Linked DNA regions of Lepisosteus oculatus. The protein of the gene in region 2 interacts with the protein of the main gene of each other region in a biochemical or structural test. Links are inferred from orthologs where the notes say so. Each region holds a gene or a part of one and is shown on either strand. Other genes may lie near its edges.

Evidence for each region.
Region 1: the proteins of eukaryotic translation initiation factor 4E-1A (region 2) and ipo8 form a complex in vitro, tested with the Homo sapiens proteins (2 studies listed by BioGRID and IntAct, with this or other methods). The link is inferred for Lepisosteus oculatus from reciprocal best matches to the Homo sapiens genes EIF4E and IPO8.
Region 3: the proteins of eukaryotic translation initiation factor 4E-1A (region 2) and eif4ebp3l form a complex in vitro, tested with the Homo sapiens proteins (2 studies listed by IntAct, with this or other methods). The link is inferred for Lepisosteus oculatus from reciprocal best matches to the Homo sapiens genes EIF4E and EIF4EBP3.
Region 4: the proteins of eukaryotic translation initiation factor 4E-1A (region 2) and eif4g3b form a complex in vitro, tested with the Homo sapiens proteins (3 studies listed by BioGRID and IntAct, with this or other methods). The link is inferred for Lepisosteus oculatus from reciprocal best matches to the Homo sapiens genes EIF4E and EIF4G3.

Annotation. Positions count from the first base shown.
Region 1 is NC_090702.1:56,231,137-56,238,340, forward strand, and holds the start of ipo8 (importin-8), read right to left. Parts: upstream 3,002-7,204; 5' UTR 2,869-3,001; coding exon 2,785-2,868; intron 1-2,784. UniProt on the Homo sapiens protein: Involved in nuclear protein import, either by acting as autonomous nuclear transport receptor or as an adapter-like protein in association with the importin-beta subunit KPNB1.
Region 2 is NC_090696.1:61,844,821-61,852,151, forward strand, and holds the start of eukaryotic translation initiation factor 4E-1A, read right to left. Parts: upstream 3,016-7,331; 5' UTR 2,928-3,015; coding exon 2,910-2,927; intron 1-2,909. Other genes in the region: metap1 (methionine aminopeptidase 1), read left to right, coding at 6,995-7,108. UniProt on the Homo sapiens protein: Acts in the cytoplasm to initiate and regulate protein synthesis and is required in the nucleus for export of a subset of mRNAs from the nucleus to the cytoplasm which promotes processes such as RNA capping, processing and splicing.
Region 3 is NC_090706.1:40,987,581-40,994,549, forward strand, and holds the start of eif4ebp3l (eukaryotic translation initiation factor 4E-binding protein 3-like), read right to left. Parts: upstream 3,015-6,969; 5' UTR 2,816-3,014; coding exon 2,683-2,815; intron 1-2,682. Other genes in the region: ankhd1 (ankyrin repeat and KH domain-containing protein 1), read right to left, coding at 6,462-6,521. UniProt on the Homo sapiens protein: Repressor of translation initiation that regulates EIF4E activity by preventing its assembly into the eIF4F complex: the hypophosphorylated form competes with EIF4G1/EIF4G3 and strongly binds to EIF4E, leading to repression of translation.
Region 4 is NC_090720.1:7,334,168-7,341,952, forward strand, and holds the start of eif4g3b (eukaryotic translation initiation factor 4 gamma 3), read right to left. Parts: upstream 3,021-7,785; 5' UTR 2,571-3,020; coding exon 2,401-2,570; intron 2,308-2,400; exon of another isoform or gene 2,214-2,307; intron 2,036-2,213; exon of another isoform or gene 1,502-2,035; coding exon of another isoform or gene 1,476-1,501; intron 1-1,475. Other genes in the region: ece1 (endothelin-converting enzyme 1), read right to left, coding at 7,134-7,310. UniProt on the Homo sapiens protein: Component of the protein complex eIF4F, which is involved in the recognition of the mRNA cap, ATP-dependent unwinding of 5'-terminal secondary structure and recruitment of mRNA to the ribosome. Functional homolog of EIF4G1.

The DNA.
Region 1 (7,204 bases), on a different chromosome or scaffold from region 2:
GCCATTGAGGACACAAGTGGGGAAAACCAAGCAGAGAGGACTTCAGGGCTCCAGGACAGCTCTCCCCACCGCCGGACACAGCGGTCCTCCCCGTCCAGCGGCTCACTCGGGGCCCAGGACAGCTCTCCCCACCGCCGGACACAGCGGTCCTCCCCGTCCAGCGGCTCACTCGGGGCCCAGGACAGCTCTCCCCACCGCCAGACACAGCGGTCCTCCCCGTCCAGCGGCTCACTCGGGGCCCAGGACAGCTCTCCCCACCGCCGGACACAGCGGTCCTCCCCGTCCAGCGGCTCACTCGGGGCCCAGGACAGCTCTCCACACCGCCGGACACAGCGGTTCCTGCAACTGAAGTCGCAAATTCACGACTGCAGTTTGCCTCTGGGCAAAGAAAGGTGTCCCGTTTCAGAATCTCAGCATCTCATTAAACTGAGTCAGAGCCTCCAACAGCACCCCTGTCCTGCTGCTGCCGAGCACCTCACCACAGCGCCAGCACCCCATAGTGCGCAGGCCGGGCGTGGGGGCAATGTTTTTTGCACCAGAAGTGAACTGCCAAACTGCAAACGGGGGGCTAAATTAATATTTATACACATTTTTATGATCGTAGATGCTAATCCCATGCCCCCTGTGTAACAGAAGGTCCATCAAGATGGAGTGCTTCGAGTATAACTGACAAATGAGGTCACAGAGTCCAGGGCAACCAGCTGTACTTAACGGAATAAAAGGAATAAGGAATAAAGGATAATATAATTAATAATAATTGCTTACACTTATATAGCGCTTTTCTGGACACTCCACTCAAAGCGCTTTACAGGTAAGGGGGACGCCAAGACCCTTAGCTAGAATATTTCAGCTCGGAATTAGGATTGGAGCTGATCGAAGAACTGCAAATCTAGTGTTAAATCGTAGAAAGGAAAAAGGGAAAAAACTTAACCAGGAATCACAGATAAATCGGTCTTAACTTAGCGACATTATGGAAACAACAGCCAGAGCTAAACGAGAAGAATACTTAAATAACATAATCGCACCTTAAGAGACACCAATGGATTCAAAAAAAGGGAAAGTCTTGTTTAGCTAACCACAAGAACGGAATAAGACTGAAGAGGATGAGATTCTGACGAATCCATAAGGCTTAAGGCAGATTGTTGGAGATGAGGTCGATAACAGAAGACTGCTCATCGTCTCAAGGAGAACAGCTGGGGCTGGTCAACGCTGCGGCGTACCACAGGGGTCCGATCAAGGTCCTTTTCCCTTCCTGCTGCTAAAGATCCCACACCAGTTACACTTCAAGGTGACACAAGGACAGGGGGAGGAGCAAACGCTGAAACAGCAGGGAGAGCATCGCAGACAGCCCCGGACAGCGCCATGAGGTGGAAAATGACTCCGGGCGTTTATGCATCTTCCTCCCTGCACACACGAAGACCACATGGGGCAGCACCACACATTAGAGAGAGCGGAGCACCACATGCCGGATATCTCCCAGTTTCCCAAGACACGCTGGCGAGGCTGTGGCCCGGTCCCGCCTGGTGCCCTGTGCTTCCAGGACAGGCTCCAGTTTCCTGAGACCCAACCGGGAATTCGAGGCTTCCTGACGGCGGACTGGGCCACGGGGGTCATATTCTGGTCATACGCAGTGTTCAGACCCGATTCACAACACGCCGTCACCACACCAACCAAGAGGACATTACAGCTTTAGAATAGAGTTCAAACAAGAGACAGAGACTTCGTCCCGGTCTCTGCGAACAGGTTGAATGAGCACAGGACTCTGCTCACAGCGATGGATATAAGATGGTGAAGAGTGCAGACGAGGCCACTGTAGTGGCAACAGGGATTCGTCTTGTCATATGAAATCAGGTCTCGGGGAAGAGAGTGCTTCTTGTGCTCTTTTAGCCTTGGGACACAGGACAGGGTCACTATTATATTTCACAGGGACGCACTACATACGTTTAAGCATAACTGCGCACACAGTCAGAATGACATTTTATTTTAACTGAAATCCAGTGCATATCCTAGTCAGTGTAATAAAAACCCTCTGTGAAGCTACACTGGAGTGTTTATGCACCCCGTGGGCAGTTCAGATGGTCTTGGGGAACTGACTAATGCAAGATGCTTTCTGTCTAGCGCAGCTTCACAGACACCAACGCCGCTCTTCAGTGTAACTCGCAAGGAAGTGTTTAAATCGCATCACGTCAACGAGCAACGCATCTCCACGATATGGGGGGCATTGCTTCTAAAGCCGCAAGCGACAAAGAGTTTTTACTGAACGATTACTCCCAGAGTGTTACCGACGAGCCCGGCGTCCGTGACTGTTTCCGCGGCGCCGACACAGCCACAACAAAACTTCTCTTTGCGGATCTGTGCACGACTTGTTACCTCTCGCAGAGAAAAATGCAGAAGTCGGTCACCCCTTCCGAGCCCCGGGGCGAGTATGAAACCCAAGGGGGTCCCCTTAAGGCTCAAACTACCCCGTTACCCCTGCGGGGCAACACTGACAAACTGTGGCCGGGGGATCCCTGCAGCTCACTCGCCGCCATCAAACTGCTCTGGCCGGTGGGACCCTGGGTGGACCCCGGCTGCCGCCGGTCCCGTCCAGGCCCGGACCGGACCGGACCGGACCGAGCCGAGCCGAGCCGGACCGAACCCGGGCCCGGGCCCGCTGCTTGGACCGCGGTGCCACGCCACCAGGCCTGCAGCGCCTCCTCGCTCGGACGGGACCCAGTACCCTGACTGGGAACCTGCCGCCGCCCGGCTGCAGCAACAGGAAAGTTGATCTGCGAAATAACTCACCTGATTGAGCTCATTCTCCGCGGCCACCCGCAGGCTCGGATCTATCGTCCCTTTCAGCGCCTGGATAATCCGATTCGGATCCATCTGGCTTTCTCCTTCCGAGCCGCGGCGGAAAACGGTCCTCGCAACAATTATCGTCGGCGTTCAGCACACTCAGCCAGTGTCTGTGACACAGCCCTGCCCCATCCTACCGGTAATCAGCAGGCGGCAGTCGCAAACGCGAAGAAAAGGCAACCTTTTTTACGGCTGGCGGTGGGCTGGGCCTGCTCCTGGGGGCAGACATATCGTACGGCAAGCGCGCCGGGCTTTACGGCAAGTGGGTTTCGGTCCTGCCCCCGTCTGCGTTCTGCGCCTTTTGCAGTTCGTTCGTGATGTTTCAGGTACTCTGTAACCCTGATGTGTGCTAAATCTACAGCACGAGTAAGAAAGACAAAACGAAAAGAGTCCAAAAACAAGTTCCAACTGCCAAGATGACGTTTTATTAAAAGTAGGAACCGTTATAAACGGGAATAATAATATTATAATTGCTTACACTTATATAGCGCTTTCCTGGACACTCCACTCAAAGCTCTTTACAGGTCATGGGGATCCCCTCCACCACCACCAGTGTGCAGCCCCACCTGGATGATGAGCCACTCCGCTCCCCACACACCAGCTCTCAGTGGGGAGGAGAGCAGAGTGATGAAGCCAGTTCAGAGATGGGGATCACTAGGAGTCAGTGATTGTGAAAGTACAATGGGAAATTTGGCCATGACGCCGGGGTTACGAGAAGAGGCTATTTGGCCCATCTAACCTGTTTGGAAGGTGGTAGCCAATTGATCACAGGATCTCCTCCAGCTGGTACTTGAAAGAAAACAGGGCATCAGCCTTAACAATGTGGCTGGGTAGCCTTTAGCTTGTTCCACACTCCCACCACCCTTTATGTAAAGAAGTACCTTCTGTCTCCCTGTTTTAAATGCACTTCTGCAGTTCTCACTTCTGTCCTCTGGCCCCCCGTTTCACAGCTCCTTCTGAAGAAATCTGCTTGGCTGTGTTTGTCAGTGCCATTGAGGATTCTGAATTCTTGAATCAGATCCCCTCGTAATCTTCCCTGCTCAGGTCTGAAAGGGCTCTGTTCCTTCGGCCTGGGGAACTACAAGGGGTCTGTTCTTTAACCTGGGCATCTTCCAGACAGTTCATCCCATGACTGGATGTCATTTCGCCTCTGTTCATCAGTTCATTGAACTCATAATCTGGGCGTTAAGTCATATGACCTGGTTTTTATAAATTGCTCGTTTTAAAAGTACCTGTAGAATGTCTGGGACACCAGTGACCCCTGGGAACCCCACCTTTTATCAACTACAAAGCTGTCGACACTGTTTCATGTTTTCATAATCTGCAGAAGACTTTTGATTTACTGATTGGTTTGTTGTTTACTTTTCTGTCATTCACAGGTTTGCCCTTAATTCAGTCTTCCTTGTAATTTCACACTTCTGATCTGGGGCTGCTGGTGCAGAATGGCCGCTGTGTGTCTCCCGGGAGGGGCTGCTGGTGCAGAATGGCCGTTGTGTGTCTCCCAGGTGGGGCTGCTGGTGCAGAATGGCCGCTGTGTGTCTCCCAGGAGGGGCTGCTGGTGCAGTGAGGCCTCTGTGTGTCTCCCAGGTGAACATTCAGCAGCATCCTGGTTCAGACAAACGACCAATGAGCTCCTCAAGTTGGGAGGATGACTATAAAGAATCAATAAAAAGCAGGATCTATCTCTTTCCACTTTGATGTCCACTCTTAGCAGATCAGCAGGTGTGAGCCTGGTCAGTACCTGGATGGGAGACCTCCTGTTGAAGCTGGAAGAGGTGTTAGTGGGGCCAGTAGGAGGCGCTCACCCTGCAGTCTGTGAGTCTAATGCCCCGCTATAATGACGGAGACACTATACTGTAAAAAGGCACCGTCCTTCGGATGAGACATACAACTGAGGTTCTGACTCTCCATGGTCATTAAAAATGCCAGGGCGTTTATTGAAAAGAGTAGGGGTGTTATCCTAGTGTCCTGGCCAAATCCCCCCCCCCCACTGGCCTTTACCAATCATGACCTCCTAATAATCCCCATCTCTGAACTGGCTTCATCACTCTGCTCTCCTCCCCACTGAGAGCTGGTGTGTGGGGAGTGTACTGGTGCACTCTGGCTGCTGGCACATCATCCAGGTGGGGCTGCACACTGGTGGTGGTGGAGGGGATCCCCTTTACCTGTAAAGCGCTTTGAGTGGAGCGTCCAGAGAAGAGCTATATAAGTGTAAGGAATTATTATTCATTCATTTGTGCAGAGAACCTCCGTCCCCCGTTAGTTTTCCTTCAGTGACATTTGCACCCTCTAGTGGAAACTAACACTACAATTGCTCACCATCCGCTGGATGACCTGAAATTCCTCGGTTCTCAATAAAACAGGCCACGCAGCACAGTGAAAACCTGTACTGTCACCTTTCATTCACTCCAAAGGTTTTCCCTCCCCTCTGTGTAGTCCATCTTTTTTAAACTCATTCTGTTACAAAGCTGTGTACACTGGCACAGCAGCCACAGTGGCACAAGACCACATATCTGGCCCAAAACCCAAGGAGGGAGTTCCTCCACCTTTTGTACGATGGACTCATGGACGACGTACACCAGAAATCACATGGCCTGAATTGCCCTGAAGCACAAGTCGTAAAAAAACAAGTTCTGCGTCTTCTTGTTGTATTCTGCTTTTACAGTTTTTTGTCAGTTGCTCAAGTGTCCTTTCTGGAGGACAATGCCTGCGGTACCTGAGCCTTCTCCTTAGGAGCCGATAGCTCAACACAAACCCCGCTGCTCCGAGGACACGGGCACGTCCTCTGGGCCACGTCGCACTGCTGTGCTGACCGGGGCAACTGGGTAAACGGTACTTCCGACGGGTGAAAAAATGTAGCAGTTGTATCACCCCAAGAAGTCACCTTCTCAGACTACAATACACTTATAAACCCATCTGCCCCTGATAGGTTTCATCTCCTGCACTACATCACCCCTCCTTCCTAATGGCAGTGACCCATCCTGCCACTCTATCCCAGCTAGCAACATTCCCTGGCTCATTAACGGCCTTCGAAACCTCCAGGAAAGCCAACACCATGGCAAACCTCCCTCACCCAAGACTCAGGCCTGGTTTCACACCTTCCACAGGGGAAGGAACTCCCAGGCACTGCAATGGGAATTTTACCTCATTTTCACTTATTGAACACCCATCTACCCATTCCTCCCCCCCAGTGCTTCATTCAACTCAGGGTTGTGGGAGAGTCAGAACCTCTCTAGGCAAGTCACAGGCTCAAGGCAGGATCCACCCTGGGTGGGACACTAGTCCACCGCAGGGCGGACACACACTAGGGCAAGTGCATCTTTGAGGAAACAGGAGCAGCTGGAGAGAGCCCCTGTGGACAAACTCCACACAGATACAGCAGCACCCCAGCGCAGGAACTGAACCCAGGGTTGCAAGGCAGCAATGCTAAGCACTAAAACTACCGATCTAGCATGTTCCATGTGTTAAAATACAGCTCAAAGTTACTTTACGCTTGATCTGTAAAGCAAAGGCCACTTTTGCCATTGTTGTAATTGAAAGACAAATGAGGAGTCTGGTGCCCAGTAGAGATTGGACAGCCACTCACTGAAATCAGTCAACTTGAAGACATCAAAAACAAGGACCTCCAGGACAAGGAGCTGTAACCCTCACTCTCTCTCATGGGCTTCCAGGAGACTTACAGGTAGTCTGCAGTTTATCAAGAGGTCACATGCCTGAACTCCTTTGTAGCCACCAACAGCGGACCTCTCCTTCAGCAGGTCATAAGCACGGGCATGGTGACAGAAGCCCTCAGAAACCAGTGCAGATTAAAGCGGTCAATGAGCCAACATTACAACGGACCCCACAAGTTCCGGTGGACTGCAGCAAACACTGCATAGTACTTCACTAGCAGTCTCAGCCCCATTTGGAAGTGGGGAGGGGAAGGTAGGTAAGAGTGCTGCAACATGAGTGCCAGTAGCCAGATGGGTCAGTGTGTGGTTTTATCGCCAATTCATACAGAGAACAGACCGCTGACAGACTCCAACAGCAGAACAGTTTCCTCAGTCGCACAGACAGGGGAATGGGGCCACACCAACCGTTTTGGCAGCTAAATGTTGATCAAAGAACAGACTCATGAACTGCGCAATAGTTTATTTAGGCACAACGAGGCACTGTAATTAGCCCATTTCAGAGCAGATTCATCAATAAGGTAGTTACCAGCTAGACATGTACACAGCTTTTTGCAGTGAACAGATACAGACATTCACAGCTTAAGTCTCCCACTTCCAACCAAAAAGCAAGGCAACAATGAAGTCTTATAAAGTGCTCAGTTAGTCATTCTAACTACACCTCCCCAGTCATCACACAACACCCAGTCATTCAAGGC
Region 2 (7,331 bases):
CAATTATTTTGAAGAAAAATACACTTTTTATTAAATCCAAAGAAAGGTCACAGGAAAATGCAGCGGCAAAAAGAGATTCACTCCAAACATAAGATGATCACAAAATGCTGTTTTTCTAAATTTAGATAAAGGAGCTGAAAACCGGTAATCGGACTTGCTTAATATTGCTTTTTTTTTTTTAAGCGCTGACAGTAGTGTAAGACAAATATATTCAATTGCTGAAATAAAAACTCATCAAGATATCTGGAGTAAATCCTGGTAATCACCGGGTAATGACATGGTAATGGAAAAGAGCAACATTTCTCACAGAAAAAAAAATGAATCACAACCAAAACATCTTAGAAGGTAAAATAAAAAAACAAACATATCACATTTCTTTGATTCATACAATATAACTGCATAGTAGCATCAACATTAACTCTACAGGCCTAGTTAATCTATAACAAGATTGTGGAAAAAATTGATAAGAGCACTATAGCAACTGGGAGGTCCTGAACAACACTTTTTTTCCCCACCAAAGAATGTTATGTGTCATACTTAAAATAGAGTCTTGATTGAGCTTTAGCTAATATGATAACACTATGTGCAACAAGCTTACTAGGCCTAACTGGAGACAAAGCTTCAAACTTTCCGAAAGACATGAAAAAACACAATTGTAGCCAATATAACTCTGAAACTGTAATGTCAATGATTGGGGAAAAAATGATTTTCCTTCTATCCAAAAAGGCTTTAAATACTAAACCACCATATACTAATATTTGACACTGAATAATAAAATAAAACATGTAAAAAAACTGTACACTATATATAAACTGTACACAACATTATATTACATTGTAGTTCCGGTGGGTAGCTGCGTCAGCATGCGTAGGCTCCACGGCCGAAACGTTGTGTTCTCTTTCTTCTTTTATTCAGCATGGAATAAACCTATTACTTATTATATTACATTTACAGTCTTCTAACAAGGGCAATTTCTAATATTATTTGCGAAAGGTGGCACATTATTGCCCATGCCTATCTATAAAAACACTAGGACCATGAAACAGAATATACAGAAGCATGACTACAATTTCTGCTATCATATCACAAGAACATAGTGGAACTCACACAAACTAGCAGGAATAAGCTGACACTGGAGAGCTTTGGCCAGCTACACTGCATACTTAAAGAGTACTTAAATTGTCTTATGTATTTTATTTGTGCTTGCTTAATACTGCTTTTTTTATGTTGTTGGCTTTTACAAATTGTTCCTGACTGAAAATAATTGCTCAATAGCGTGTGGGAGTATTTTCTTTTTCCATTCCAGCTTCACGACTGTAGAAGCCAAGAAAAAAAAGTCCCATGTTACTGTTCCATTTTCATATGGTAGCAAGAAGTTACAAGTCAAAGTAAGAGAATCTACCTAACCTAGCGCCTAGACAATGACACAGTGCCCTTTCTTATTATTTTCAGTGCCAAGCTAATTAATCCAAGTCTAAACGTATAAAAAAGGTGAAGTCATAAGCTACCCCTCTGCACTGGGAACCTATACGATCCGTCATTGACTTCACATGCAGGAGGCGCTCATACCAAAAACAGCTGTTGAATACCTTAAACGTGGCTTAAATCTATACAAAGTAAAAAAAAAGGGGGAAAAAAAGTGAATGGTTCAAACCAATAAGAAACGGGAGTTAAATCCTTATTCAATTCCAAAGGTTACAAAATTCCTTTGGCACCCATAACGTCACTGCTCAAGGAACGCCTGGGTTTTGTTTTTTGGACAACACACGACAGGAGCATTCTCCGTAATGTACAGTTGGAGGAAAACACATGGAAAATGTATCATCCATTCACATTCCAGCTACAGGAGCCCGGGGCTGAGGGATTTCTTCGCATCTGAACGCAAAACAATAACACGCTGGCGAGTTGCAGCATCTGCAGTTTCAAGAGCAGCGGAAGGGATCGAACAAGCCAGGCGAACCTGTTTGCTTTGGCTGGAAAACTGGTGAATTACAACGGACCCAACAGTCACTCTTTAAATCAAAACATCTGTTATGCACTCTTTCGGGCAAAACAAATGAGCTACAGGTCTTATGATCAGTTAACTGCTTTACTAGTAACGGTTGGGGGGGGACCTTACCGCATACAACTAACCACCTTAATCCCTCGAGGGTTCAATACCCAATTTGCTCGCAATTACCTCGACACGAAGGTATCTAAATCAGACAAGTTAAAGAGCGCACAGCGAGATGAATGGAAAGGCGCTTGACACCCAACAGTAATGTTACGGTTACGGTAATGAGGCACATAAAACTGTCAACGTCAAACGTCAACATCGGGCGGTTCAGCAAACACGGGGAGTTAGTCTCTAAAGCCAAAAGCTTCTCTCAAGTAACCGTCAGAGCCGAGTGAAAGTTCAAGATGCCCTGCACTAGTCATCGGAGGGAATCGCAGCCCAAGAGTATGCTGTGTGTGTGTGTAGGGTTATTTCCAGTTTCAAACTGTCAGCTGTACAGCGCCACGGACATATTACGTGTCCCGTGTTTTCTTTTTTTCCGTGTTTCGAGGAAATGCGATGCACTTGACAGGCGACGTGCGATGCCTGTGGACGAGCAGGCCCCGACTACACTCCACGGGTGATCCCTGATCTGCTGTGACTCACACGCATCTCATGTTGCTGCCGCTGTCTCCTCCTACAACCGCTGAGTGCTCATGGCTCAAGCTCACCCTACATGCACGTAAATACATACACACATTGCCCGCAAATACTCGCGCCATTATCTCATCGAAAACCGACCCACAGGCTCGCCGACGACCCCGCTACTAAACCCGTGCGAAACCCTCTCACCGAACCAGTAGAAAAATGTGAACTAACGCCCTGAGAACTCGGTCAACTAAAACAAATGTTTCAGAGCAATACACTCACTCACCGGTTCCGCGGTCGCCATCTTATATCAATCTGATTCACAGGCTTCTGGTGGGAACATAAAAGCCGATTGGCTTCAGCCGTCCAACGTGACGCAACCGAGTTGCCAATGGCTGTTGCGCATGCTCCTATGTCAACGGGACGAGGGGGGTTGTGGGGTCTGTAGTTTCGCTGGAACGTGGGCGATACGGATAAAGTTTTTTCTAGTTCACTGTCCTCTGCTTGACGTTTTAAAAAATAGTAAAAAAATAAATAAAAAAAACACGCAGGGTTTAAACATATACATGTGATTCTTGGGACATTGATAATTTACCACAATGCACATACCACTGATGCACTATTGTTATTGCTAGAATTGCTTCTTTTTCAGAGACCAAACCTGACATACTTATCAGTCAGCTAATGTGATAGTACCACCAGATCTTTGCCATGTGATATTTCTAGCAAATAATGAACACCGGGGCTTGTTAATTGCTACTATCCAAACATAACAACCCACTGGCCAGGTATGAATTCCAGTGACAGTTGCTATTGATTTTGTATAAACTTTGGGCAGCACAGTGGCTCAGTGGTTAGCATTTCTGCCTTGTATCACTGGGACCCTGATTTCAATTCCTTGTCTGGGGTGTTATGCAATATGTTAATAGTAATGAAGATTCCTTACACTTATATAGCGCTTTTCTGGACATCCTACTCAAAGCACTTTACAGATAATGGGGACTCCCCTCCACCACCAATGTGCAGCACCCACTCAGATGTTCTCCCCGTGTTCATGTGGGTTTCCTCTGGGTGCTCTGGTTTCCTCCAACAGTACAAAAAACATACTGGTAAGCTAATTGGCTTCCGTAAAAAAACTGGCCCTGGTACATGTGCTTGTGTCTGTGTGTCCTGTGATGGACTGGTGTCCATCTGGCTCCAGCTTCCCTGTGACCCTGAATTGGAAGAAGAGATTAAAAAATGGATAAAATATATAAAACAAATTTTAGTAAAACAAGTCAATTGCCAAATGAAACATAACTCCACCAAGCACAAGAACAGTTTGTGTTGGCAACTTAAATTTAACATGAACCTTCTTTAAAAAAAAGAATGTTGTCATACCCAGATATAGTCCTATAAAAGAATATATGAACATAACAGATAGCTAAGTGAATTTTCCTAACATTGAACTTGTCATTGACAAAGACACTACAAAGGACCAATATTGCATATAAAGTTAAGGAGATGACATTTAGAACTAGATTTGAGAATCATGGTACAGTATCACAGGGTACGGAGATAGGATTCTACAGGACAGCCAATAGAACTTGAACTTGAACTTGAACTTTATTGCCATATGTAACCGGTGCTGGTACAATGGAATTCTTACTTACAGAAAGTCTCTCGATTGTAAAACAAGTGTAAAAAACAAAACAAAGTGCAAACAGTGCATCAAGACAATATACAAACAAACAATAGACAATGTGCAAGTAAACATGCAGACAGTTTGAATGTAAACAATACAGACGTGTAAACAATGACTGGAGATGTACAATAAATAAATTACAATGAGGTAGATGGTGATGGTGTAGGTGTGGTCCGAGGGGGATGGCTAAATGTGTTCGCCAGTCTCACTGCTTGTGGATAGAAGCTATTGAAGAATCTAGTGGTAAGTGTCCGTATGCTCATATCTCTTGCCTGAGGGCAGTGGGGTGAAGAGCTCATGCCCAGGGTGGTGACTGTCCTCTGTGATGGTCAGAATTCTACCACGGCAGCGGTCCTCATAGAGCTGCAGCGGTCCTCATAGAGCTTTGAAGGTTAAGTTCTACGGTTAAGGACAGAGTGGTGGCACTGTGGCTAAGGATCTGCACCTGTGGCTGACAGGCTACTGGTTCACATCCTGTGGCTGGCAGTGGGAATCCTACCCCATTTGGCCCCTGAGCAAGGCCCTTAACCCCAACTGCTCCAGGGGTGCTGTATAAATGGCTGACCCTGTGTTCTGACCCCAAACTTCTCTCTCCCCACCTGTGTGTCTCATGGAGAGCAAGTTATCTCATCTTATGAGCCATTTGTGACTGAGATTCCCCAAGCAGCAGCACACGACTGGTTGAGCATTGCTGAGGGTATAGTGTTTTTAGCTGGCTGAGACTCTACTGGCTCCCTTGGGCACTTGCAGGCATGTGGTGCAGTCTGTAAGAGATGCCGCTCTCCTCCCATAAACCTCTGGTTCTGGTCAGAGGTGCCTGTGTTATGTTAAAAGGTGTGTGGGTTAGAGAAGTCTTCCTATTTATCCCTTGTGAGCAGTCATTGGGATCCGAGTTGCTGGACTATTAACTATTTATGTTCTCTGCCAATACTTAACTCTGAAATAATAGCCAAGATTTACAAAAACCAAAGAACAATGGTTAAAAAGAGAGAGGAAGCCACTGAGCTCATTTCAGACCTTGAGAAGCTGCACGTTAAATAACAGTGTATTAAGATGATGACAAAGGTTTGAACAACATCATTATTTGCTAAAGTTTACAAACTTATCCTTGCCATTAGAAATACCAATTAATGAAAGAGAGAATACAGACCTACACTGATAATGATACTACAAATACATTGTGATGACATTAAACTAAGTGTATCTTATCCACTCTACTGCTATTGTAACAGTAACAGGCCCCAGACAGTGCTAAATAAGGGTTTTGACTACATCTAAACTGTGTGTCAATGCCTATTTACAAATTCCCATGTGGCATATTTATAACAACACTTTTTTAGTTTGATCTTCAAAACTTTCCCTTACCACAAATGATAGCTCAATAGTGCATGGAGCATGTATCATTAGTCTGCAGAGAAAAACAAATGTATCAGTTTTTATTATACAGAGTTAAAAAGCAAAGTAATAAAGCCAAAATATTGATGAAGTTGACTCTATAGGAACATCTGCTTGTTACTATTTTTTATGTTGCATGGCAAAAAAGAAAGATTAATGACAAAAATGAGCAATTCTCTTTATGACAATTTTCAATAAAACATTCTATCATCCTTTACAATTGGGACAGTTTATTAACTCCAGTAATGGAAGTAAAGTCTACAAATAACCTGATAAATTTCCATTTTATTAGCATCTAGAACTGAATGCATAGTTGTATATTACTTACTGTACATTGATTGCTATATATACACAGTATATACTGAAGGCTAGCAAGATGACCACCCAAAACAATAATCCCAAAATCAGAACATCATATTAAAGGTTATAAACGAGAGGAGGTTATTTGGCTTATCTAGCTCATTTTGTAGTTAGTAGTTAATAAATCCAAAAATCACATCCAGCAGTTTCTTAATTGAAGGCAGGATATCAGCTTCAATAACATTTTGATTACTTGTTCCCTACAAGTGCCGTCCTCCATACAGTTAGTCCATAAAATCACGCAAGCAAGTAAGAAGTGCCTGCTTTTGAAAACAAAATAACATTGCTAAGCATTACATTTAATTAAACCAGTTATTATATACTGTATCTCCATCAGCCTTTGCCAGTCTTCAGCTAGATAAATTCCTGTCCAAAATTAAAACAGTATTTAAAATACATACCTCATTGATATCATAAATTTAGTTAACAAAATGGGAATGTTTGTATTCTGCAGATGTTTTCTCTCTGCTTTAAGACTATCACTATTGTGATATATATGTATATATTTGGTAACACTTTAAATACATGCTGCTTTAATGATTTAGAATTCTTGCTACATCGTTTTGAAGAAGGTTTCAGACATTCTTTGATGGATCAAAAGGCGCTACACAGAAAACAATCATTAACCATGCATCAAAAGTTTCTAGATGAAAGGGGAGATTGGGCCGGCAAGGTTGACGCTGGCGCCGCTGAGAACAACCGACACAGTGACTGTTGGTTTTTGTCTTTTTCTAATTTCTGACACTTCCCTCTTCTGCAATTATGAAAACCCCCACTGTAAATGATGAATGAAAGCTCAAGGAAAACAGCCCTGCTCTTAGGAAAGTCAGGCAGTGTTGTAGGTGGCCGTGCGCCTCCCTGCTCCTCCCAACTCGAGGTCCTCAGTGACTCTGTCTCAGCCCCTCCTCTCCATTCGCAACTGGAGTGTCAGCATGGCGGCCCATGAAACCAGAGAATGTGAGACGGAAGGCTGTAATAGCGAGGCCAAACTGCAATGCCCAACCTGCATCAAACTGGGAATCCAGGGGTCTTATTTCTGTTCGCAGGTAAGGGGGATCTCGCCAGCTTCCTTTGCTGTATATACCGGCTGGACTCAATTGAGAGCCCAGTAGTATTGCGCGCTCACACTACTTGGGTTTTCTGAGGTTGAATGTACCCAGTTGTGATCCCTGGGGCTGTTTTATAAAATACCCTCTTCTATTCCTGCTTAATAATAGGTATGCTTTTTTAACATAGTTTTTTTTTTCTTCCATTTAGCGATTGCTTTTG
Region 3 (6,969 bases), on a different chromosome or scaffold from region 2:
GTCTGGCGGTGCACTCTGGCGCAGTTCACCGAGACCAGGGCAGGAGCGCTGGCCTGTAACAGCACACATAGACGGCTCAGGAGGGCAGGCGGAGAGAAGCTGGTCTCCGATCCTGCAGTCACCCAGCAGGCTGACAGACATACTGCCTCTGTTCTCCGTACACCTTATCCACCCCAGCTGTGAAGAGGCGGCTGCAGAAACAGCCTGGCTTGCTGGGTGCGGCTGACCAGCCCGTCCTGAAGTTCCCCCTTACTGGGGCTACACCCCTCTGCAGCAGGGCTGCAGGGCAACACAGACCAGCGAGTTTCCTCAACAGGGGCAGCTTGTCTTTCAGATTCTTAGAAGTCAGAGCCTTCCCCCGCCCTGGCGCGGCGCTGCGCTGCTCTTGGCCGGGACAGCGTGTCCTCAGCTATTTCTGCAGCTGCCTGGAATGGGCGGGTCCCCAGCCAGACCAGGCCTCACTCTGGGGCCCAGGCGGGGTGGGTGAGCAGCGCAGCTCCTGGAGGAAAACAGCACGTCGCCCAGCCCCTGTGGGGCCTGTTCAAGCGAAGACTGAACAGTCACAGTCGCGTTCTTGAGCCGCTTTTAAATCCCGTGTGAGAACTGGCCTGTGCACCAGGCAAGTCCGAATCGGCCGTCGCGCCTGCTCAGCCCCGGCGAGCCAGCAGGGCGCTGCCCATCGCGGCGCGGCGCAGGTACAGGACCAGCCAGGCACCCAGGGCTCGTCCAAGCAAGACCAAGACCAGAGCACCTTCCCACCTCGCGCCAGCGGTCTGTAGCCCCAGTAAGATGAGTTATATTGTTGCACCCCAGGGTGTGCTCTGGAACAACTGGCACGCAAACGGGAATCTCTCTGGTGTTTAGGAGGCTCCACAAGGGACTGCAGCTGGCTTAAGGCAGCCATTACAAGTACTACAGGCCCCCAGTACTCCCCCCTCCGCACAGGCGAGACCACGGCCAGTTTCTCAGGGGCAGAGGGCTTGAACACAGCGGGCAGCCTTTCAGAGCAGCTCGGAACGACAGTTACAACACATGAGGAGCTGCCGTTCCCCCAGAGCAGTCCAGCCCTGGGGCAGGACTCACCGGGAAGAGATCCAGGACACACAACTGCTGGGACAGTTCAGGGATAAGTCACAGCCCGCATTCTCGCCGCGCAGCTGGCAGGGGCTGGACAGCAGGGCACAGACGCCAAGCGCCGGCTGTCCTCCAGAGCGAGGCAGACACCAGAGCCCCAGCTGCGAGGCGCGAGGAGGCGAGGGGCTGCCGATAATTCCCCAGCTCCTCCTCTCGAGCGAGCGGCTCTGCTGGGTCCGACCCGGACAAGTCCACAGACCCAGCACAGGAAAAGCCCCGTAGTAAAAAGACACACTTTCACCCGGCGTCCCATTGACCGGAGCGCAGGAATACACCAGTGCCCCACCCCCGAGCCCTGCAGCTGAGATCAGTGTCCGGCTGCAAGGAGAGGACTCTCCCAGCATGGGGAACAGGTTTCAGCTCCTGCTGTAATTAGGTCGTCTTCATTTCAGCCGGGAGGAAAGGCCGGGTTTTAAGCCCCTGTGGAGGGAGGGTCAGCGTTACAAGGCAAGAGCTGGAGGCCAACCGCTCTGCAGGTCCGGCGACAGTGCCTCAGGAGCTCCGCCGAGCTAGTGACCAGAACTGGGAGAACTGGTCTGAATTCCAGCGGGCTTCCATTTCTGATCGGGTCTCGAGAGAGGCTAGAAAGGTATATAGACGTGAACTGAACTCGTGAGGACAAACCGTGCCGAGAGCTCTCATCCCAGACCGAGATGTGAAATTTGACACTGCAGGCGCTCGGCCCTCATGTAGCCGAGGTGCGAGTGACCGCTTCGCTTACACCCCCACCCCGCGCGAGTCAACCGGGGATATTCCGAGTCTCCAAACGAGCACCTATCCCGTGGGTTTCGGGTGTCCTGTGCTCCATGGAGAAACAACAAAGCCCTTTAACACTTCCAGAAAAGGCGCACCGTGTAAAGCACTACAGCGTGTTGTTGAAGGGTTTCTGCCTGGTGCTCAGGCTGGGCTGATACCTCCTGCTCCACCTGGAGACGAATGGTACCGAGCGCGGCGACCTGCGAGACGCGCTGCGTGTTTCTGCACAAACACGCGTGGAAAACCCCACAGGACGCGTTAAAATCAAAGCGCACAGGCGCAAACCCAGCCGTGGCAGGAGAAATGCTGCAGCTCGTCTTCCGCCCGCCCCGGTCTCCTCACTGGCAGACGCTGTTTTAAAGGAGCCACGGCGTCCGTCCCGACCATCCGAGCAGCTGATCCCGATCAACCTGGGAGAAAGGTGCCCGTCGCAGCCCGGTGTGCGGCCGGTAAGGCTCTAAACACCCCGCACCCCCGAGAACACGACGGATAAGCGCCGTTTCGCAATGCTTTACCAGAAAAACAGCGATCTTCAGCGGGACGGCAAGTCAAAGAACACCCCCTCCCCCAAAGTTACAGACGTTTATAAGGGTCGCCAACAGGCAGTTTTTTTAATTAAAGAAAATCCCCCTTTTTTTTAAATGAAGACGCTCACTGTTTTGGTTCGAACAGTTTCATCGCGCCGATGGTTATATGTAAAAAAAAGAAGAAAAAAAAAGGAGAGAAACAACACTTTAAAACAAAGTTGAGTACAGCCATAAGCGGACTCGCACGCCGCGGCCCTCGGCCTACCTCCCGGGGTGGTGGAGAAGAGCGTCCCGCCGGGCGTCTGGCTGTAGCAGTCCGGGAGCTGGGACCAGTCCTTCAGATGCATCACCCTGGTGGGGATCGGGCAGCTCTTGGACTTCTGGCAGTTGGCAGACATTGTGCTTGTGCTTCTTGTGCTGCTCTTTTTTTTTTCCTTCTCAATGATAAAACCAACCAGCGAGGGTCGCCTTAATAAATTTAAAAAAACTAAACACCCCCCCTCCCACAAGTATACGCTGCGCCGAAAAGACTTCTCCCCAGCAGCTCGGCTCCGCAGGGACCATGTGCGCGTCTATTTGCAAACCGCTTTAAAGGCGGACGTGACACGGCTCACGTGACGGCACATCAACAAGATCACGCGTGGCGGCGGGTTGGATTACACCCGCGCGCTGAGCCCCCTCCCCCGGGTCCTGCAACGCCGCCCAAGTATTGCCACGGCCGTGGCAAAGGCGGATATCCCCGCCCCGGCCCATCGCGAAACCTCTTTATCAGCACAGGGCGGGTGTCGCAGCCCAGCGTTAAGTTCACGGCGGCCCAGCGACTCCGCGTCGGCTTGAGCTCGGCGGGTGTCGGCGGAGCCCCGCCGTGCAACGGTCGCTTCCTGCTCGAATGAAAAAGGGCCACCAGAATCACGACTGAGCCCACTCACCCCACTCACGGCGTTCGTCCCCCTACCATCTGGTAGCGCACAACAAGACTCCGAAACAGCTTCTTCCCCAGAGCCGTCAGGCCGGTGACCTCTGCTCACCCGTCCTGTACCGCACAGCGACTGCACTCCTACAGACCCACACACACCACACCGGCGACAACCGACCGCAAGCCGAACTCGAACATAAAACTACTCGAGTTGTACCGCTTGATCATCGCTGTATTATCTTGCACTGTTTGTCTACTGATGCGGGTGGTGTCACACTGGTACCATACTCGTTGTTTACATTGTTATTATTGTATTTACTGTCTATTGTCCCGTCTGCTGTTCTGTATATATATATACTGCGCCCGAGAGACAGATGAGGAACACTTTCCATCATACTAAGCACCTGTGTCAGTATAATGACAAAGTTCAATCGACATATTTATACCCCCCCACTTCACGTTTTAGTCCTAATGTGAACCAGGGCTGCCGTATGCGTTTCCCCACGCGTGTCCCTCTCCGAGTGGGAGGATATCGTTCGCCCTGAGGGGTCGGGGTCACTGTGTCCACCCGAGAGGGCAGGCCGTGCAAACACGCGTGTGCGCGAACACGCAGCAGTACTCGCTCCTGCGCTGTGTCGGAATATTCCTCCTTTCTAGATGAGGACGGTGGCTCAGAGCAGCGCCACACGAAAACAGACAGGCGATTCCCACAGGCTCTGTTTGGACAGGTGAGCTGGCGAGACATGTTCTCACGGGGGTCATTTGAACTGTATCTTAGCCCCCCCACAGCAACAGGCGAACGAGAACACGCTGTTTACTATAAGACTTCATTGTGCGATTTCTCAGAACTTTGTCTTGCATCAAAGCAGCACTTTGTTTTACACCGAAATTTACCAAACACAAACAGTTCAAGTAAATATTAACAAACATAACAGACGGTTACTTCTAGTTATTCATGACACGCATAAAAATTCATCAGTCCACACAACTATACCAGAACCAGTAAATAAACCCGTACAATTGCACTGAGCCATAGTTACACACCCCCCTTGGCACATAACCCACTGATGGTGCTGCCGTGGACTAGGAGTTTCATTATGAGCTAAAATAATTCATTTTGTTAAAGGCCACACTGAGGGATCTGTGTCTCAAGGCATGAGTTCATCATCTTCTTGCAGAAGATGTGAGGGATCAGGGGAGATCCTCACAGCTAGTTGCTACACACTCTGCTGAAGTGGCTGCCCCATTCTCTTAGAACACATCCGAGAGTCTGGACATTTTCACTTTCTGTTGCACAGAAAGGCTGTTATATCATACAGCTATTCCATACTGCATGACACTGTACCAGAGAACTGAAAAACTTGGTCAGAATCTGACTATTGGCACCAAAAGCCTGAAACCCACAAAATGTAATTTTGGTTTTGTAGAATATGTGCCTTCCAAGAGTAATCCCAATGCATAATCCCAGATATTTATAGGATATAACTTGCTTATTGGACTCACTGAATTATGACTGCAGAAGGACTGTCCTTCATGCTTAAAATCAAAGATCCATTTGCAAAAGAATTGTAACAGACAGACCCCCTCCATTGTGAATCTGCTCCCACCAGGGAGATCCCTCTGTGTGCACAAGTGTAGAAGTAACAACCTCAGGAAGTCTTGTGCCCGTTGCAATACGACTCAATTAGCATCTAGTAACTCATCTCCTGGATCACTATTGTACCATCTTCTTAGTTGGTCATGTTTGTACTCCTCGTTGCGTTGTTGTATCGGATTGTGCCGTAAAACAAATTTCCCTCCGGAAAATAAAGTTTGCATTTAATTAAACGGTAAACTCTTCCATTTGTCTAGTATTGAAAAGCAAGGCATTCTTTTAAAGCTCTTGTAGTTCTTTTTTGCAACCACTAGAAAATATCAAATATTAAGACAGTGTAATTAACGCAATGGTATATTTACAATAATGGTATGTTAAAATGTTTTAAAAAAACCATGTATGCCACTTGGATAAGTTGATAATCAAAAGAGGCATATCCAGCATAAAAAGGGTACAAGGTTTGTCCCTTTATTGAATTTTAAACTGTCACTGTCCCTCTTTTCTGAGCCCCACACTCAAATACTTTCACCCTTCTGTGGAGATCACAGCCTCCACCTACCTCCATGCTGAGGCCTTTCTCTATTGAGGGATTCACTGGGAAACGATGCCCTCTATGGGAATACAGTGTAACTGCACCTGTATGTCTCATCTGCACATGAAGTGCGTTACTTTTTCCTGCTCTAGAAATGTGCATGTTTTTAACAACTCAAAACAGCAACCCCGAATGCCAGAATCCAGATAGTGGATAAAAGGCACACTTCTGAGGTTAAAGCTGAAATGCAGATGACAGGCTGGTAATTGATAAGTCTTGTAAAAAGAGGAAAAAAAACAACTTGTGACTTCATAAAATAACTTGTGACTTGTTCATATAGAGAAACGCTCATACAATGGTCTGTCTATACCTGCATTCCAATGGTTACAGCTAAAAAGACTTTGACAGGCTAAACCTGGCATGTCCGCACTGAAAACACCCTGTACAGATCCTTTTTAAGTACACTTTAGTGTTTAGGGATTTGTTAAGTTTCCTACTTCGTGACATCTTTGAAGTCGGGGTGTAGATTACAAAAAGACGCAAAACAGTTACAGTTCCATCTTTTTATTGAATATTAAGGTAAATATTTCACATTAATACAGGCTACATAAAGTAGAGCCACTATACGACATGAAATTTACTCTCATTTTAACCCTTTTTAGTATGTAAACAATTATACATGTATTTACCACTCTAAAAGGTCTGATTTATCTTTATGTAATCATCTAGTTCTTGGCTGCATATAAATAGCTTACAGTACTGTTGAGCCAACAGCCCAAGAACAGTTTATGTGGGTTTAAAGTCAAAATGGCTAAACTAAGCAGAGAATGTATCCTGTTGTACAGGCAATCCATTTGTTCATAGACAGTGGTAAATAGAAGTAACAGCCCACACAGAAATTTTAGTTAGGCACATCAAAAATGGTGTCCATCCTTCCAATTTTAACTTTAGGACACTACAAGTTTAACATCTCAATTTCAATTTCGTTATGCCTCAATCTTTTTAGTTAACATGGTTCAGATGCACGTTTCCAATATGTGGTGCCCAAGTACCAGGCCAGACCTGTAATGACAGAATAAACATCAATTAGCGAGTCACGTACAGCCATAAGCAAGACTGTCAGCACTCTGATCCCCTCTCCACTCCCACTGCAATTACACCTCAGGATTCAGCACAGAATCCCACAAGAACATTTCTGCACACAACTGCACACTTTTCAAAAATATTTAGTCCTACATATGAATCAGATACATTAAAATAAGCTATAATTTAAATGGAATGTGTATCACAAAAATCCTTAAACGTTTTCAACCACAAACATTTCAATAAAAAGATCGATTGCCGAGGATGAGAAGACCTCAGTTATCACAAAATATTGATTGTCCACCGACACTTACATAGCAGGCGTGCCGCTATAAAACGCTGCCAGTTCCACAAAGAACACCAAGGTTTAAATGCATTTTTTCCCACACTTAATCAATTAAATACAAACACATTTGAGCAGGGATTT
Region 4 (7,785 bases), on a different chromosome or scaffold from region 2:
AATCTCAGATCAATTAGCCACTAACTACCAACGTCTAATCTATAACCTGTCTTGTGTCCTTGGGTTCACATAACTGTTCGAAACTGAGGTATCATGTGAGCACATTAATAGTCATCAGGAAACAGGGGGGAGGCTGACCAGTCCATTGGAGATCACCCCTTACAATACAAGTATCCAGCAACCGGTATAGCAGCTTAAAGATTTATCCATCCAGCTTCAAACCACTCCATCCAGTTCAAGGTCACGGGGAACAGGAGCCCATCAATGCGAACAGCAGGCGCAAGGCGCAGTACACCCTGGACGGGACGCCAGTCCATCGCCAGGCACACGCACACACTCACACCAGGGCCAATTTTCCCAGAAGCCAAATAATCTACCACTATGTCTCTGGCCCGTGGAGGAAACTGAAACACTAGGTGGAAACCTACGCAGACACACAGGCAGAAACATACAAACACTATGCAAAACTACAATTATGGATAGTGAACCTAACAGGGCAAAAAGAGCACCTCCATATTAAAAGGTGGAACTCAAAACTGCACAAGTGGCACAAGCAAAGTCCAAGGTAACTAGCATTTCTAAACCTGGCCATCACCAACTGAGCAGGTTCCTAGTCCTTTCACCAGCTATGTCATCATTATTAAATCGCAGGCTGTTTCTCAGTCTTCACCCTCCCCTTCCAATAGCAGTTAGTACCTGGGGTCTCGCCATTCTCTCTGAGGCTGGGGAGGCAACCTAACAATGCAGGAGGGGCACCAACACAGCTCTGGGGGACTTGATGTAAAACGGATAAAAACGACCAATGGAACAAAGCCATTATGAAGTCATGCAGTCAAAAGGCACGCATTCAGACACGCTCATCCCATACAAACACCACAAAAAGCATGCAATGAAACACAAAAGCTTTAAGCCCTTCGTACACGTCTGCTGTTACAATACACACTGCGGCTCCTCAGTCTGTCGGGAATGTTACGAGGGTGTTATAAAAAGCAGACACACTTTCCAAATGTGGTGGAGTTAGCTGCAAAAATGTCCGATTTCCCTTGAAATAGACCAAAGGGCCTCCAAGGACCAGACTCCCTGAAAGCCAAAAAAAAAACAAAAGACCCTAAGGGATATCTTTCCACAACACCTACAGCCATCCTGCCATTGCTCATGGAGCCCTAGTCCCACCTCTCTCTCCCCCAGACTCTCGCCTCTTTACTCCCCAAACCAGGGGTACGACTTGACATCGCTCAGATCGCCCCCTGACAGCGCTGACCATGGGTTTGAAGGGGGTAGGCTACACCCTCGCATCCCCGTTGACGCAGCATCCATTAAACCAAAGCGGGCAGCCGGCACCTGTCCGCCCAGCTCTCCATGCAAACCCGGCCTCGGGGGAGGAGGGGGGTGGCTGTCAGCACCTCTGCTTCACGCCCCGCTGCCGTCCAGCCCCACGTCTACACCTCGAATCACGGGAATAAAAGTGATCTTACCTGTAGTTACAGCGAAAAGAATACATCCGGTTTACTGGGCGCAGCAGGCTGCTGCGATCCCTTTGTGCAACAGTGTCTCGCAATGCTGCCTTCACAGAGCCGCCTGGCGCACACACCGGCTGGGCATATGTAAACACAACCCAGTGTTGCAGCCAATTCACCGCTTTGCCGGTATTAAGGGGGTCGGACCTGCGCGTCACAGGCAAGACACTAGGGAGCCGGTTAACTCACCCTGCTCCCCCACCCCCCCAAAAAAAAAAAAAAAAACAGATCAAGTCCAGCGTTAATATTATCGCTCCCGAGTTCAGCGGATCAATGCATTTTCACCTCGTTTGGTACCTAACACGGCACAGGCCCACGAAACAACGGCTGTCTTTGCCGCAAACCGTTTGCCGAGAGAGCGAGAGAGAGAGAGAGAGGGGAGGGTGGGTAAAAAAACACCGACAAGAGCCAGGCCCCACGCAGACGGAATAAATGTAAAATCTTGAAAACTGCGCCCGGGGGTCGTTGTGCCTTTTTTTTTTTTCCCACTCTCCCTCCTCCCCGAAACGCAGCTGCGCCGCACACCCGGGTTAACCTATCCCACCCGTTGTCTTCTACCAAAACGGAGAGAGGGTGGGGGGGTGAGGGGAAGAAACACAAGACTCACACACACACACAACACAAAACTTGACGTTCCGGGGAGCGCAGACCGGACCTGTCAAGTTCACGAACAAAGCCCGGCGTTACTGGACTTACCGGCCCCAGCCCCCCTCGCCGGAGCACGAATGCCCCGGGACCCTGCTCTCCGGAGCAGGTATGTTTCTGGGGGCAGACGGGGGGTATGTATCTGGTTGCTATGTGGGTACCCTCACCGAACCCCCCCCCTTCCGACCTCTCTCCCGGGCCCGGGGGGCCGGGGGCGACACGGCCGGGCGAAGGATACTGCGGCGGCGGCGGCGGCGGCGCGGCGGGCGGCTGCGGGGCGGCCGGGGCTCCCGGTAACGCCACGGAGGTCGGGAGAGCCCGCAGTTGGCTCGGCGGAGACGGCCCGGTTCCGGGTCCACTTCCTGCGGCAGCGGCTGATTTCGGTACCGCTTTCGGCGGCAAACTCATCGCAAAAAAATTCAACAAAAGAAAAATAGATGTAGGCAATAATAAATATTGATACAGAGGTGTAAAAAATATATTGTACACATCTAAAAAAAAAAAGTACAGCGACAGATTTCCCCCCGGACCAGGCCCTTAATCCCTGTGCTGTACTGGGACAGTACAAAAAAAATGCCTTTTTAATGGAAAGAGTCGCTTTTATTGGGGTTTTATCTTCATGGGGACGGCGGGGGGGTTGCTTTCCCCCTCCCCGGCCGGGGCTTCCTCGATTCCGGTTCGGTTCTGCTTCCCAGAGGGATGTCGCCGGTTTTTCCTTCTTCAGTTACTTAATGTTTCTTGCTCAGTAATTGTTATTTTAAAAGTCCTTTTTCAGTGAGAAGGGAGATTTCGCTCAACATGGCGCTGCGGCCGCCTCCAGCAGTCCGGCAGGACGGACAGGTTCGGAAAACGTCGGTTGCTTCCGGAAATGCTCGGCTGCTCCCCCCCCAACGGGGGTGACGTCAACATTCGGGTATCTTCGACTCCCTTCGCCAGCGAGGTTTGGGGATTTTTAACTCCGGCTACTTACGGAAATTGTCGTTCTGGAAATCCCAATTGACAGGGTGTAAAAAGCGTGCTGTTTGTGCTCGAGAAGGTTATTTATGTACATGTATCATGCCCGTTTCACAAGTCTGATTAATAAATGCTAGAAGCCCTGTTGCCTCTGATAAGTGAAAATGATTTAAGCAGTGCTCAATAAATCAATAGCAGTTATACAACGTTGAAGAAACATTCACGATTTTACCATCCTAGAATTTGAGTGTATGGTTCAGGAACCAAAAGTATTAGCGTAAGTAGATACAAAACAACTGAAAAAGATTGATAATGCATTGAGTATGTACTCGGGAAATTATTCTTACTTTTTTTTAATCAAGGTGAATGAGGTGGCGGAATTTTCTTAAAATCCAACAGTCCTTTTGAGTGTGTAACCGTGTCCTAAATTGTCCTTTTTAAAACCAAAATAGTTAAGGATCTTAGTGACATCTAGCGTCTGTCCTGTGAAGTACCGCCCCTGCAAAGGCATTGCTTAATGTTTACTTGGATGTTCCAAATAAAGTATTACTTCCTTTTCTAAATACCTTGACTTAGTCCAATGTAAAACGCTTCATGTACATACGCGCTTTATATGCACGTATGGCGTATGATTTTTAGGATTTAAACTTTTTTTAGCAGAGAAGTGTATTTGATTTTTAAAAAATGTCCTAGTCTCATATGCCACAATCTTCCATCTATTTTAAACAGCTTTATCCAGTACAGGGTCACAAGGGAGCCAGAGTTTATCCCAGCAAGCAACGGGCACCAGGCAGGGTACCCTCATGGATGGGACACCAGTTCATCCCCAGACAGACACAAACCTGCACACACTTGCAAAAGGGTCCTTTTCCCCCTAGAACCAATTAACCTACCAGTACGTCTTTGGACTGTGAGAGGAAACCGGAGCACCTATTGTTAACATGGGAGAACATGCAAACTCCACATAGACAGGAATTTCTGGAACTAAATCCCAGCACTGCGGGAGTCTTAGTCTTTACCACAAACGAAGGTACTGGGTTACTTGCATAACGAACCATACAAATTAGATATAAGAAGACTAATATTGTGTGTTCAGGAACTGATTTGAGCTGAATATGTAATAAAACACCGCACTCTACAGAGGAAAAGGCATGGGTCACCAGAAGGTACTGTAACAGTGTGCTGTACAGAAAGCGAAAAGAACAAAAAAACACGTCAGAGAGTAATGGTTTGTAGGGCTACCTGATTGCAAGTAACTTACAGATCCAAGCAACTTATGGAGTAGTTCAAAGGCTTCTTTTTTTTTTTTAAATCAAGCCCCACAGTTTTGCAGTTGGTTCAATCACCTGTACTCCCAAGAACAATGCCTTTATTAATCCAGTTTTGCCACTGAATTTTTATGGGCGTTCCCTGCTCCTGTTTCAGTACGCCAAACAGATTCAGTGTTAAATCTGTATAGTACTTGCTTAATAATGACCCTCTCCCCTTCCAGTCATTTCACCATCAATATCGCCTATTACTCCCATCATCCCAAACAGCGCAACTGCTGTCAGACTTGAAATCAAGAACACAAATGTACTTCTTTAAAAAGGTCTTTAATTACACTTTCAAGTTGAAAGCTTAAGGCATCAGGCTTTTCTTACAATTGTAACTGTAAACAATATATAGAGAATTGTTTTGGTTTTACATCCTGTCATTCATGATGAACTCACAGTGGGGCACAGATTGTTACAGCCCAGTTCATCCCATTAGGATAAAAAACTGCTGTTTGTAAGAGCTACAGTTAAAATAGCCAGACTATAGTGTCATGCAGTGATTTAAAGAGGAGTTGTCGGAAGAGACTGGGAGAAAACATTTTTGTTATAATTCTAGACCAACAATTCTATATATATATATAACAGTGTTCAATGGAGGTTCATTCATTATACGAAATCTTAATGACAACTTTCAAAGAACAAAACCAACAACTAGACAACCATACATATTCACCAATGAAGACCTGTTTCTTGTACAATGCAAACCCCATTCAGTGATCAGAATATATTTACACAAATGTACAGAAACAACAAATAAAACAGAAATAATTTAAGAATATGGTCTGAGAACCCAGTCCACCCTTTTCTTTCACAAACCATACATTAATTTTGTGCACAAGAACAAATCAGCCCCTTTCACCGCTGTACGTTTGCGCAAGCAGGTGTGTGGACAGGGGAGGTCCTGCCCCAGGTCACTGAACAGAAATGGGTATCAGTTTCTCGGATGGCACTGGATTTCACACCCCAACACACAGGAGCAAGCAGCACAACTCATCCCCAAGCTTGGTCTCCTAGGGAATTTAAAACCGTTAGTGGATAAGGCCTGTTGAATTCATTTAAAACAATCAATTCAACAAATGATTCAATCAAGGCATTAACAGCAGAAAACCACTGAGCTCTCCAAGACCAGGACAAAGTACAACTGGCCTGGAGGCTTGAAGCTAGCAACTAGGCTGTGCAGCCCTGGTTCACAACAACCTGAAAAGCCCATGGAAAGTGTGCCCATGGAAACCGTTTTTACTATAGAGGCAGTGGTACTTGACCAATAAAACCCAGAAATAGTGGTTAATTATGTACATAAGTTCTTGATGTAATGGACGTCTGACTGTTATGTACTGACAGACCAATGGATTTTTGACAACACAAGTGAACCAACACAGTTAACCCTTTTCTGTTGCGCATTTAGTTTCTTGCATTCCATATAAAAATTACATTTAAGAGATAATTGTATTAATTCTATACAGTTCTTTTTTTCATTTATTCTGTGGTATAATCAAAGTGGTTATATTGGATTGAACAGCCTTTTCATGTGTAAAATCAATGAATAAGCTTTTTAAAGTCCATAAGATAGTACAATTTCAGCTAGTACTGTTCAAGCTCACTAATTAAACTCCATTTAACTACACCCCAAGAACAGTAGAGTGTAGTATCAACACTCTTCCGGCAGTTTTGCCTGGTACATTTGGTATGACACAGTTTAAACGCAGCACTGTTTGTAATATTTTTATCACTTCAGGTAATTATAATTCTTTTTATTTGCTTGTAGATCGAAATTAGAGGCCCTTATTGTGTCTTTAAAAAGGGTCACCCCAGTTACAAAAGCTTTGAGAACAATGCAACAGAAAAAAGTTTGTTGTAGCATTCCAGCACATACAAAATAGACTAAGTTTACTTTCTTAATAATATTCTCCTTGGTAAATGTGTGTCAGTCCTGAAAGGCTGCAGTCTGATGATTAACACATTAAGCGCTGGTAGGTTATATGTAACATTTTAATATCCGGACAGACAACACACATACAGCACTACAGTAGCTTAAATCATAGCAGCCTTCCTCACTGAACTGCAAATCAGTTCTTTTCTCTGGAAATTTCTTTTCCAGTCAGTATAAGCATCTTAGTATTGCTCAATAAACTACTAATAACAAGACACATCATGGGAGAAATAGTCTTCTCTCAACTTGCTATTTTGAACATTCCTTGCTCATTAACCTTCCATCACAGTTTTCTCATGAAACAGCTGATTATGAAGTTATTTATATATAGGTGTGTAAGACTGTTCTTCAAAATATGCAGTCATTGATGATGGAATAAACAAACTGAAAAGCAATTATGTTTAAGTATCCAAAAATTGAGCTACAATAACAGGAACTTACAACAACCATAAAAATAAATAACGTGCTTAAAAATAATCATTTCTACACAAAACCTGAATCATGAAAAGTAGAAGTTCTCCCTCTTTTTTTTTCTTATTTTCCATTTTCCAGTGTTTTGCATCTTTTCCTCTTCCCCAAAAATATTTTAACAGAGTTTCATTTTGAAGTTAGTGAAACAGCATGCTCTTCCGAAGTTAGTGGAGGTCCAGTGGGATTGTCGGAAAGGATAGCATCTCAGTGGTTTATAAATGTTGACGGCCTCCTTCTGCAACGTTCCCCATTCCCGGAGTTCCCAGTCACTCTTGTCCTGGATAGGCACGGCACTGGAAATCACCAAAGCTCACATTTACGTTGGGGGTTCATGGGGGAGTTGTGCTTGCAGTTGAAGTGCTGGGAGAATTCCCTGGAGTTGGACACGGTACCGATGACTCGAAAGCGAGAGGGACTGTGTGGGTCTGTGATCACGCCTTCGCGAGAGCTCTCAGGTGTCCGCACTGAGCACCACACCTGCAGTCGGGGAGAGAGGATACACAAGATTCACTCCTTACGTGCAGAGACAACTGCAACAAGCTCACACAACATCTCACTGTTGTGAGTCGGCTCTTTGCTTTCCTAGAAATAACAGGATGCTGATAAGATGACATACTCAAACAAATGTGTAGTAGATTGTGCACTGAGGCGTCACACAGACAAATTGGAGAACAATGATGGTACATGCCAGAAGGCACTATATCTATAGGAGTGCCGATGATTTTACAGCCTACAAACACTGTCCCCCCCACTAAACCATCCCTGCCTGGACACCAGTGTTATTTGTGCCCACTGGTACAGTATGTACAGTCAGAGATCAAATGACCAATAATTTTAGATAGATGTTTGAACAGACCAGTGCTTTAAGCATGTCAATTATTTAGCAGGCTCTACAAAGGATGCTTTTTAAAGAAATTATTTAGTGAAAAAAGCCTTCTCTCAGCTCTGATTT